3 separate regions of the Mus musculus genome follow, and regions 2 and 3 are each reported to be linked to region 1. The links are microRNA targets in miRTarBase. Many come from high-throughput screens and were not tested one by one. Region 1 holds a microRNA gene; each other region holds the end of a gene's coding sequence.
Evidence for each region. Region 1 holds the annotated microRNA mmu-let-7g-5p (UGAGGUAGUAGUUUGUACAGUU, at 1,431-1,452, opposite strand). A microRNA usually pairs through its seed, bases 2 to 8, with sites in the 3' UTR of a target mRNA and lowers its output. Matches are read on the target gene's strand: a 7mer-m8 pairs with bases 2 to 8, a 7mer-A1 pairs with bases 2 to 7 and ends in A, and an 8mer does both.

Region 1 (3,164 bases):
CTCACCTAGCCTGTGAGCAGCTCAGAGTTCAATCTGCAGCATTGAGGAGGCGAATTTGGGAGTTAAAAACTACATTAAAAAAAAAATCACTTTTTTGTTACCAATCTTTGTACTATTTGCAAGTAATAATTCAACTTGTCCTGAATAAGTATTTCCTAGCAAGGGGGAAAAAATCACAAGCTATGGACACTAATTTTAGCTGTCTGCAAAGTGATAACTCTTACACTGAACATCAGAAGGGCAAATTAGAGGGCTATACAGTTAGTTTGTGTAAAGTTGGGCCTACTACATAGACAGATTCTGTCAAAGAAAGAAAAATCAAGAAAGGAAAAAGCAGTCTATCTAGAAAAAGTAAGCAAGAGGGTCTAGAGAGGTGGTTCGGCAATTTAGAGCAGCAGGCTCCATCCCAGGAGCCACATGGTTTCATAACCATCTGTAATTTCAGTTCCAGGGGATCTGACATCCTCTTCTAACCTCCCCAAGCACCAGACACATACAGGATACATAGATATACATGCAAGCAAACCATTCATACACATAGAGTAAAAAATTAAAAAAAAAAAAAAGAAAAAGAAAGAAAGAAAAGACAAGACTACACTGACAGCAGAATGAAGAGAGGCTGGGTAGGCAGCTCAGCGCATGGTGCATTCCATCAGTGGGTGAGGCCCACGGCTTAACCCCTAACACCACAAAAGGTAAGAATAAAATTAGAAAGTACTATGCTCCTAAGAAAGATAGAGAAAAGCTGTAAGTAGTGACTCTATAACCTCACCACATTGGTGACCAGCATGGGATACATTTACTGAAGCCCTATCTCAAAAACCAAACTCAAACATCAATGAAAACAAACAAAACAAAAAATAGGAAGAGAAACAAATAATACAAAACATGGCACCACAGTGCAGGAGGGAAGGCAAAACGCCCAATAAAGAGGTCCAAAGAACCAAGCGGCTTCAAGAGTGGGCTTTGTTTTGAGACAGGGTCTCACTCTATAGCACATGCTAGATTGAAACCCATTATACAGCCCAGGTTAGTCTCAAAAAAGCAGCAATCCCCCAGCCTCAGCCTCTCAAATGCTGGGATTACTGGTGTGAGCAACACACTTAGCTTGCAGGGATGCTTTCTAATGAGAGGGCATTTGCAATAAGAGAGAAAAAAAGAACCCTTCTATATATTCTGTAACAGTTTCAAACGGTTTATCTGAACAACTCCAAGCCTCTCAAATGACAACCACAATGCATTTCTGGTTATTCTAGTGCCAGGAACTACTCACCTGACCTAAAGAGAGATCCCCTCCCATTACCTGGAATCCCAGAGATGAGCAGGGCTTCACCATCTTCTCCACCCCATTTGGTAGCTGGTGCACTGTTCCTGGCAAGGCAGTGGCCTGTACAGTTATCTCCTGTACCGGGTGGTATCATAGACCCTCAAACTGTACAAACTACTACCTCAGCCTGGAATCAGGCAAAAGAGAACGGAGCGCTGGAGCAGCTCTGCAGGACGCACTTGAGGAAGGAAAGGCAACATCCCCACAGCAGAGGCCAGGCAGCAAAGCTGCACCCGCCACACATTTGCCTCATCTTTACCATATTTGGAGAATTGTTTAATCACTTAGAAAAACAACCCAACAAAAGAAATACACCAGTCATTTATATATATTTTTATATACCCTCAGAATTCTAGTATTTATCCTTATCCAAAAGCATCGGTGGCATTGCCTACTTAGAAAACTACATCTGACACATACATGAAAAATAGAGATGATTAGACATGCAATAAAATCAAGTTCAAGTACAGAAGTCTTATTAAAGAAAGACTTCTGCCTGCCCATTTGCTTTGAGAAAGGTTAAAATAGCCACCTAGGCTATCCTTGCTGAGTGGCTGGGCATGGCGTCACTCGTCTTTAATCCCAGCACCAAGGAGGGTTCCTGTAAGTTTAATTTTAAGACCAACCTGATCTATATACAGAGTGCAAGGCCATCTGGGGCTACAAAGTGAGAGCCTGCATCAAAACAGGGAGGGAGGCAAAATAAATCACTGTGGTTATGAGCACACACTGCTCTTGCAAAGGACCTGAGCTCCCCTTCCAGGATCCACGTCAGACGGCTCATACGAGCCTGTAACTCCAACTCCAGAAGCTGACAGCTTCCAGACTCTGTGGGCACCCATGTTCACATGTGCACATACCACCTCCACACACATACACAATCAAAAAAAAAAAAAAAAAAAAAAGTACCGCCAAAGGGATGGCTCAGTGGTTAACAGTGCTTGCTGTTGTTCCAGAGGTCCTGAGTTTGGTTAACACCCACAGCACGTGGCTCACTTGCCTGCAACACCAGCTCCAGAGGACCTGATGCCCTATTCTGGCCCAAGGGCATAGGCACACACCCACTCAGATGTACACATACCTAAAGAAAAATCTACTGTGCCTGCGATAGCGGCACAGACCTACACACTCAGTACCCAGGAGTATGAAGCAGGGCAAACTGAGTCACAGTAATACTATCTCAATAAAACAAAATGAAAAAATCTTACTGCAAAAAGTGCATTAGTAAACTAGTATTAACAAGGCTAAAATGAGAAAAAATAACAAGCACACGACAGTTCAAGCACTGAGACAGTTCTGTTGACTTAGGGACTTATTCGAGGGGAAATCAGTCAAAAGCAGATACTAGTTATTAAAAAGGATGTTTCAATTCTTAAAAAATACCTTTACTCTAAAGCAAAACAAAAGGTATTCCTGGAATTTACAACCACAGTCACTGCACCGTGTGACACAAACCACAGAAGAGCTAACCTCTTCTAACTATTTGGATGTCTTTTTGTTCCTCTGTTGTTTTTAAGACGGGGTCAAGCTACAAATGCTCAATGGCCCAGGTAGGGCTCAAACCAAGGCCCTGCTGCACACCCGCCTCCTGAGCGCTGGGGGCACTACTATTCTTAATCTCCCGCATTTGGTCTCCTTTCCAGTCTGCATTTAGTACATCTGCAAATTTTGTTTTATTCTCCCTCAGTTAGAAATGTAAAGGTTTACCCCAACCCCCTGCCTTTTAGAAGATCTCACCGTGTGTGTGTGTGTGTGTGTGTGTGTGTGTGTGTGTGTGTGTGTGTGTGTGTGCGTGTGCGTGTGCGCGCCTTGGCTAGCTTTGGCTAGCCTGGTACTC
Region 2 (3,164 bases), not on the chromosome of region 1:
ATTTGGGAATTAAATGATCTAATATAGGGTAGAAAACCTCAACTAATATTTAGCAGAGCATTCCTAAACAAGAACCAGCATGTTCCATGACTGAAGCAGGGGGAGGGAGGAGGGGGGAGAAGGGAGAGGATAGGGGATTTTCGAAGGGGAAACTAGGAAAGGGAATAACATTTGAAACGTAAATAAATAAAATATCTAATAAAAAAGAAAGAAAGAAAAAAGCCTCTAGAGAGCATGTTACCAGACTCACCAAATTGAAACAAAATATAATGTTCTAATTATGTCTGTAGGAAATTGTCAGATATCACAAAAACCAAGGCTTAGCTGGATCATATCTCTGTCTATAATCATCAGTTATAAGCCAACATGTTTCTATTCCCTAATCAAGAAATAAAGTCATATTTTAAAGGAGCTTGGGTTGTAGTCAACCCCTACCAGACATGCCTAGTACATGTGTAGGAGTATCTCTTGCTGGGAGCGCAGTGGCATTGAGATAGTTGCTTTAAATAAACTCTCTATCAAAATTTCCAGGCATAGACATTCCTATGATGTAATCTGGTATAACAAAGCCAATACCACCATAAACTTCGATTTGGCAAAAGTTATCAATCTATATGGTGAGGGACCCATTTTTCTGACCTCATCTAATGTATTCTCCATGTAGTGAAGGTCACTAGAAACACTCATTTGTCTCTAAAATGAAACCACTGGAAAGCTAAAATAAGAAAACACTAGGCTCATCATCTCTTATATACTCTGGATACATTTTAAAATCTACATTAGATTCTAGTACAAAATAAGTACTAAACTATGTATGTGTATATTTGTGTGTTCCATTATAGACATATATGAATGTACACAATGTGTGTGTGTGTGTGCCTGCAATAATTTTCTCTATATATCTCTATATCTATATCCATATCCCTATCTATCTATCTATCTATCTATCTATCTATCTATCTATCTATCTATCTATCTTTCTATCTATCTGTCTATGACAAAGTTCAGTGCATCTGATAACTAAATTCAAACATTAACAACAAAAAATAATACAACAGAACATTGATTCTAGGAGGTTTTATTTAAAAGGCATGTTTCAGCTCTCTTGCCTCTGAGACACTAAAACTTCTGAAAGTGTCATTTGAATAAAAATCTGTAACTGCAGATCCAGTTTTGCCGATGTCTTCAGTACATTCACAATGAAGATGCTACACAGGATGGAAGTAAGGCAAGGGGGATTCACAGTGATAGTCGATACACAAAATCTAATTTAACACACACATTACTAAAGATGGAAAATTGACAATAACAAAAGAGCCACCCTTCTTTCTCTAAGAACATCAACAGAACACAAATGTATGTCTTTATACTGAGTTATTAATGTGACAACAAAATTAATATCCTGTAGCTCATTACCTGGCAGTGGGAACTCTAAAGTTGTTCCTTATTCCCAGCTGATAAGGCTATTGATGTTGTCATTGTACATATATTGTTTAAGCAACAATTTTTTGGACATACAGTCTCCTTGTATATTTCATGATCCTTTGTCTCTAAGTCATTCTGCCCTATCTTCCACAATATTCCCTGAGCCTTACATGCAGGAGTTATGAATACTAAAAGGAGAATGAGCACTCCCAGGGGTGAACCCCTGATCAACTACCTAAACAATGTGATTAGTCCTAAAGTCTTGAACATAGAAGGAACAAAAATTGATTCAGCCTTCAGCTGGTTTCATTATATATTCACAAATATATACATATACACATATACGTATATATAATGAAAATCACCAGAGAATAAGAAACAATCAATTTAGCCTGGCGGTGGTGGTGCATGTCTTCAATCCCAGCACTTGGGAGGCAGAGGTAGGTGGATTTCTGAATTTGAGGCCAGCCTGGTCTACAGAGTGAGTTCCAGGACAGCCAGGGCTATACAGAGAAACCCTGTCTCAAAAAACAAAAAAAAAAACCAAAACCAAAACAAACAAACAAAACAACAACAACAAAAAAACCAATCAATTTGAGACTAGATGAGAGTGGGGAATATGTGAGGAGGTAGGGAGGAAAAGTTGTTGGAGGAAAGAAATAAATGGGTTAATATAATTATATTTTAACTAAAACATATATTAAATGAAATGAACTACATACAATTTAAAAGTCACTACTTTCAAAACAAAAAGAAGACAGACACTTCATTTGAACTTAAATATTCTTTAAAGATATTGTTTTATACAATCATTAAACAAACACAAAATCAAGTTATGGGAATCAAATACAAATAAGTGAAGTGCTTAAGTTACAGTATCCATCATGTCTTACTGGATAAAAACATAACAGAATTCACATTACATCACGTTCTGCAGTAACTCATGAACTCTATCCATGCAGCAGAGGCTGGTCATGGTAAACAGAAAGTGCCTCCACTTCACAGGCTGTCTCCATTCCAACCCTTCCTTCTTACCATCAGGCAGTTTACACTCTGGGGTAGACGGCATATGAAGCAATTCCACAGTGGTTGTTCCTGCCTCTGGCAAGCTTCATGTAGCCATTCATGCCCCATTGCTCACCATGACTGAAAGAAACCATGTATCCCATTTAGTAGAAAGAACACAGGACAGTGCACTCAGTACAATAACTCCACGTGTAACCACTGATCCAGAAGCCTACTTAACTCCATGATCAGAAAATGCAAAACATCCAACTCTGAGAAACCAAAGTTATCTCAGAAAGGACTGTGCAAATCACAGCAGTGAAAACTCAGGATATTTTTCCACCCACAGAACCAACAATATCTCAGCTTTTAGAAAAATCAGTGTCACAAACATATTACTACTCAAGGAAACCAGTGCCTAAATCTGAACAACACACATACTATAAGTTGATTACCCAGCCATAGTGTTCAAAGGTTCAAGTGGTGTTCACAAAAGAGAAAAGACTGGAGTTCAATCCAAGATTCCACCTGGGGCTGGAGTTGGGTCTGTGCCTAAGAACAAGGGCTTTTTCCACAGAAAGCTTGTTCCTTTCCCAGCAACCAAGTCAATCAGCTCACAGACTCCTGTAACTATATTTTCAGAGAATCTGATGTCGTCTTCACATCTCCATGTGCAGCTGCTCACACGTAGAATAAAAATTCACACAAACATCCTCACATGAGTGAAAATATAA
Region 3 (3,164 bases), not on the chromosome of region 1:
AATAAAATAAAATAAAATACTGGTTGGTTTTCCAGAAGACCAGGGTTCAATTCCCAGCACCCATATGGTGGCTCACAACCATCTGTAACTCTAATTCCAGAGAATCTGGCATTAGGAGGTGTGGCCTTGTTGGAGGAAGTGTGTCACCAGGGGTGGGCATTTAGAGTTTTAAATGCTCAAGCCAGGCCCAGTGCTGTCTTCTGAAATGTACATCTCTCAGCTACATCTCCAGCACCACGTCTGCCTGTGTACCACCATGCTTCCTGCTACAATGATTATGAACTAAACTAAACCTCTGAAAGTAAGCCAGTGAATGCTTCCTATGAGTTGCCATGGTCATGGAGTCTCTTCACAGCAAGAGAAACCCTCTCTAAGAATCTCTCATCCCCAATGTCAAAATGGAGCTCCTCCCTTGACCAATAGGTACACACACTTCCAAAGCCAGAAGGGACACTTTTCTGCTAGGCTAGCAATGGTTCAGACAGTAGTGGAAATGACTTGAGAGCCACCTCTACACAGGAAGGTGACCATCAGTTATGAGCACTGGCCACTAGCCATAGAGACTGCCACTACCTAAGTAAATGAAACATTCCTCAGACAGCAAAATCCACCAGTATTTAGTTTAAAATTGCTGAGAGGAACTTGCATCATATTGAAAGACAAGTTCTTGCTTTTAGTAACCTTGGTTATCAGAATTCTTGGTTATCAGGGTTTCTCTGTATAGCCCTGGCTGTCCTCGAACTCAGAAACCAGCCTGCCTCTGCCTCCCGAGTGCTGGGATTAAAGGCGTGCGCCACCACGCCCGGCTGGTTATCAGAATTCTTAATTAAATACAGCCTAGCAATCTGTTTTGAAAACAACAGGCACATTAAGGCATTCACCTGAGTGAATGAATGAATGAACTAACAAACAAACAAACGTTTCCAAATACAGTCACTCGCTACTTGATGATTGGGCCATGCAGTGAGAGGTGTGTTGGTAGATGATCTTATCACTAAGGGAAAATCATAGACCAAGATGGCTGTGATGCCACTGGGTAATACAAACGTACAGACCCAGCACTGTGTACTCAATCTGTCATTGGGCACTTGGCATGATGAGGCTATAGGTCTAGAAACAATACAAAGATGACTAAAAAGGAAACCTCTCTTGTTTATAACAACTCAGTGAGAACTGATGATCAAACTTAGGACCCTGAAGAATACAAATATTCTATATCACACAACAAAAGATGAACCCACATTCTAATGAAATTGCCTAATTATACGCAGGGAGCATCTGATGCACCAGGTAAGATATAGCAAGGTTTTCCGAGTGCCCTGCACTGACCAGAGTGCACGAAGCACCACAGATCCACTTGGGTTACCATGTGGGCAGAGATTCAACTTTCCAATATCCTGTTTAGAGCACACACTGCATGATGTCAGGGTAGCAGAACCAAAGTGGGCATGAGGCTGAAAAAAGAAGTGCATTCACTCAGGCAGGCTCAAATGACAGTCTCGGGTTCGTGGGGCCTCTGTGCACTCTCAGTTACCTGATGCACCTGGGACGTCACAGCTGACCTCCTTTGTGGACAATGAGCAAACGGAAACGTCCAGGTTCCGAGTTTCTTTACCTGACTGCAGTGAGGACGCTAAGGACATAGCCTATTTCTCTGTCAGAAGTGTCAGAGGCATGCTGACATGGGTATGACTGGGGATCAAGCAGTAATGGAAGGACGGTAACATTTAAATATTAGGCATGATAATCCTGTATTGCCTGGGCATATTGAAAGAATAATCTGTAATGCTTTAATTAGTTGACTCAACACAAATGCTGCTAACTCATCTCCTGGGTGTCTGCAATGGGACAGTTGCAGATGAGCTTGTCCATGCACAGCTCCTTCCATGCGGTAGGGGGACAGAAGCCAAAGTGGCCTTTAGAGCAGCCATGGGACAGCCAACTCACTGCAACTGGCTTAAAGATGCACCAGTGTTCTGTTTGCTGCCCTAGGAAAGAAAAGGGGTGTGCAGAGAACAGAAGGCTTGAGGAAAAAATGAGAATGAGTGGCCCACACCCAGAAGCTACCAGCTGTGATAAGTTTGCAGAGCGTACCACTACAGGAGAGGAGTGATCTTGAACAAGAGACATCAGTCTTAAAAGCATCAGAACTGATTCCCACTTCCATGCTAGAGGTATCTATCAAAGGAGTATACCACCAAGAAGAAAAAGGACTTAGATTTGACTGGAAAGGGAGCCATGACTTTCCCCAACCCAACCAGTGACATAAGGGAAACCAAGCAACTGGTCCTGCATCCCCACAGCATGCTCTTCAGAGTGAGGCAGTCTTCTAGGCCCGGGAGGCTGGTCTGGGCCCCCCCAGGGTGGACAGCTGCTCTCACCCTCAAAGCATGCTGTGGCCAGGCCCCAGGCTTCCCTGCCCTCAGGAGGGCTCTGCGTGGCCCGAGGACAGAGACAGGCAAGCTCATGCACGGGTTAGTACCACAGACGAAGGACCAGCACCACAGACAGAATACCTGGGAATAACCTACTTTGAGGACTCAAATGCAGATAGGTCTTCTGCCTTGGGCTTGAGGCTAAATGAGCAAAATAAAATGAAAAAACAAAGACATACCCTGTGAAATCAAAATGCCACATGTGCCATTTGCAAAATGCTCAGAAATAGAGACAGTGACCTCAGGTGTACTGTGAAACAGTTTGAACAGTGGCCTCTCTGGTTTTCAGCTGAGAGCCCAGTTCTCCACAGCAGCAGTGGCCAGGAGACTGCTCAGGATGCCAGGTGATAAGGAGGCAGGATGAGGGGGCTGACTGGTTCACTAGCCCAATCACGTTTTAGCTTAAGAGCCTCCTCTTTACCCCCACCTCCCCCGCCCACTTTATGAGACAGGGTCTTATATAACACAGGCTGGACATGAATTTTTGTTGCAGTCCAAAATGACCTTTAATCCTCCTGCCTCCTCCTCCTGAGTTCTGTGGGTCACCACGCCTGGTTTTAAACTCCCCTCTGACATTTAATCATTTTGTTTGAAACAAGAAACCCAGAAGACAACAGGAGCCAGAGGGAGAGGGTGTGGAGTGCGGTGATGCCTTCTCTACTTGGTGTCCACTGTGAAGTGCTAAGCAGAAGTAGGCTCCCAACTACACATCAGAGGAGACTCAGGCTT

Region 2: the mRNA of Cts8 is a reported target of mmu-let-7g-5p. Seed matches in the 3' UTR shown: 7mer-m8 at 2,052-2,058 and 7mer-m8 at 1,863-1,869.
Region 3: miRTarBase lists Nf2 as a target of mmu-let-7g-5p. The part of its 3' UTR that is shown has no 7-base or 8-base seed match.

Annotation. Positions count from the first base shown.
Region 1 is chr9:106,177,134-106,180,297 of GRCm38, reverse strand. Mirlet7g (microRNA let7g) reads right to left here and starts at 1,458; the gene lies at 1,371-1,458. All of the region lies in intron 2 of Wdr82 (WD repeat domain containing 82), which reads right to left.
Region 2 is chr13:61,245,683-61,248,846 of GRCm38, forward strand. Cts8 (cathepsin 8) reads right to left here. Exons shown (of 8, transcript NM_019541.3): 8 at 1,065-2,571. The coding sequence ends at 2,472. Among named protein-coding and RNA genes, the nearest start is that of Cts8, 8.1 kb to the right of the region's middle.
Region 3 is chr11:4,778,047-4,781,210 of GRCm38, forward strand. Nf2 (neurofibromin 2) reads right to left here. Exons shown (of 17, transcript NM_001252250.1): 16 at 2,532-2,576. The coding sequence ends at 2,541. Among named protein-coding and RNA genes, the nearest start is that of Cabp7, 32 kb to the left of the region's middle.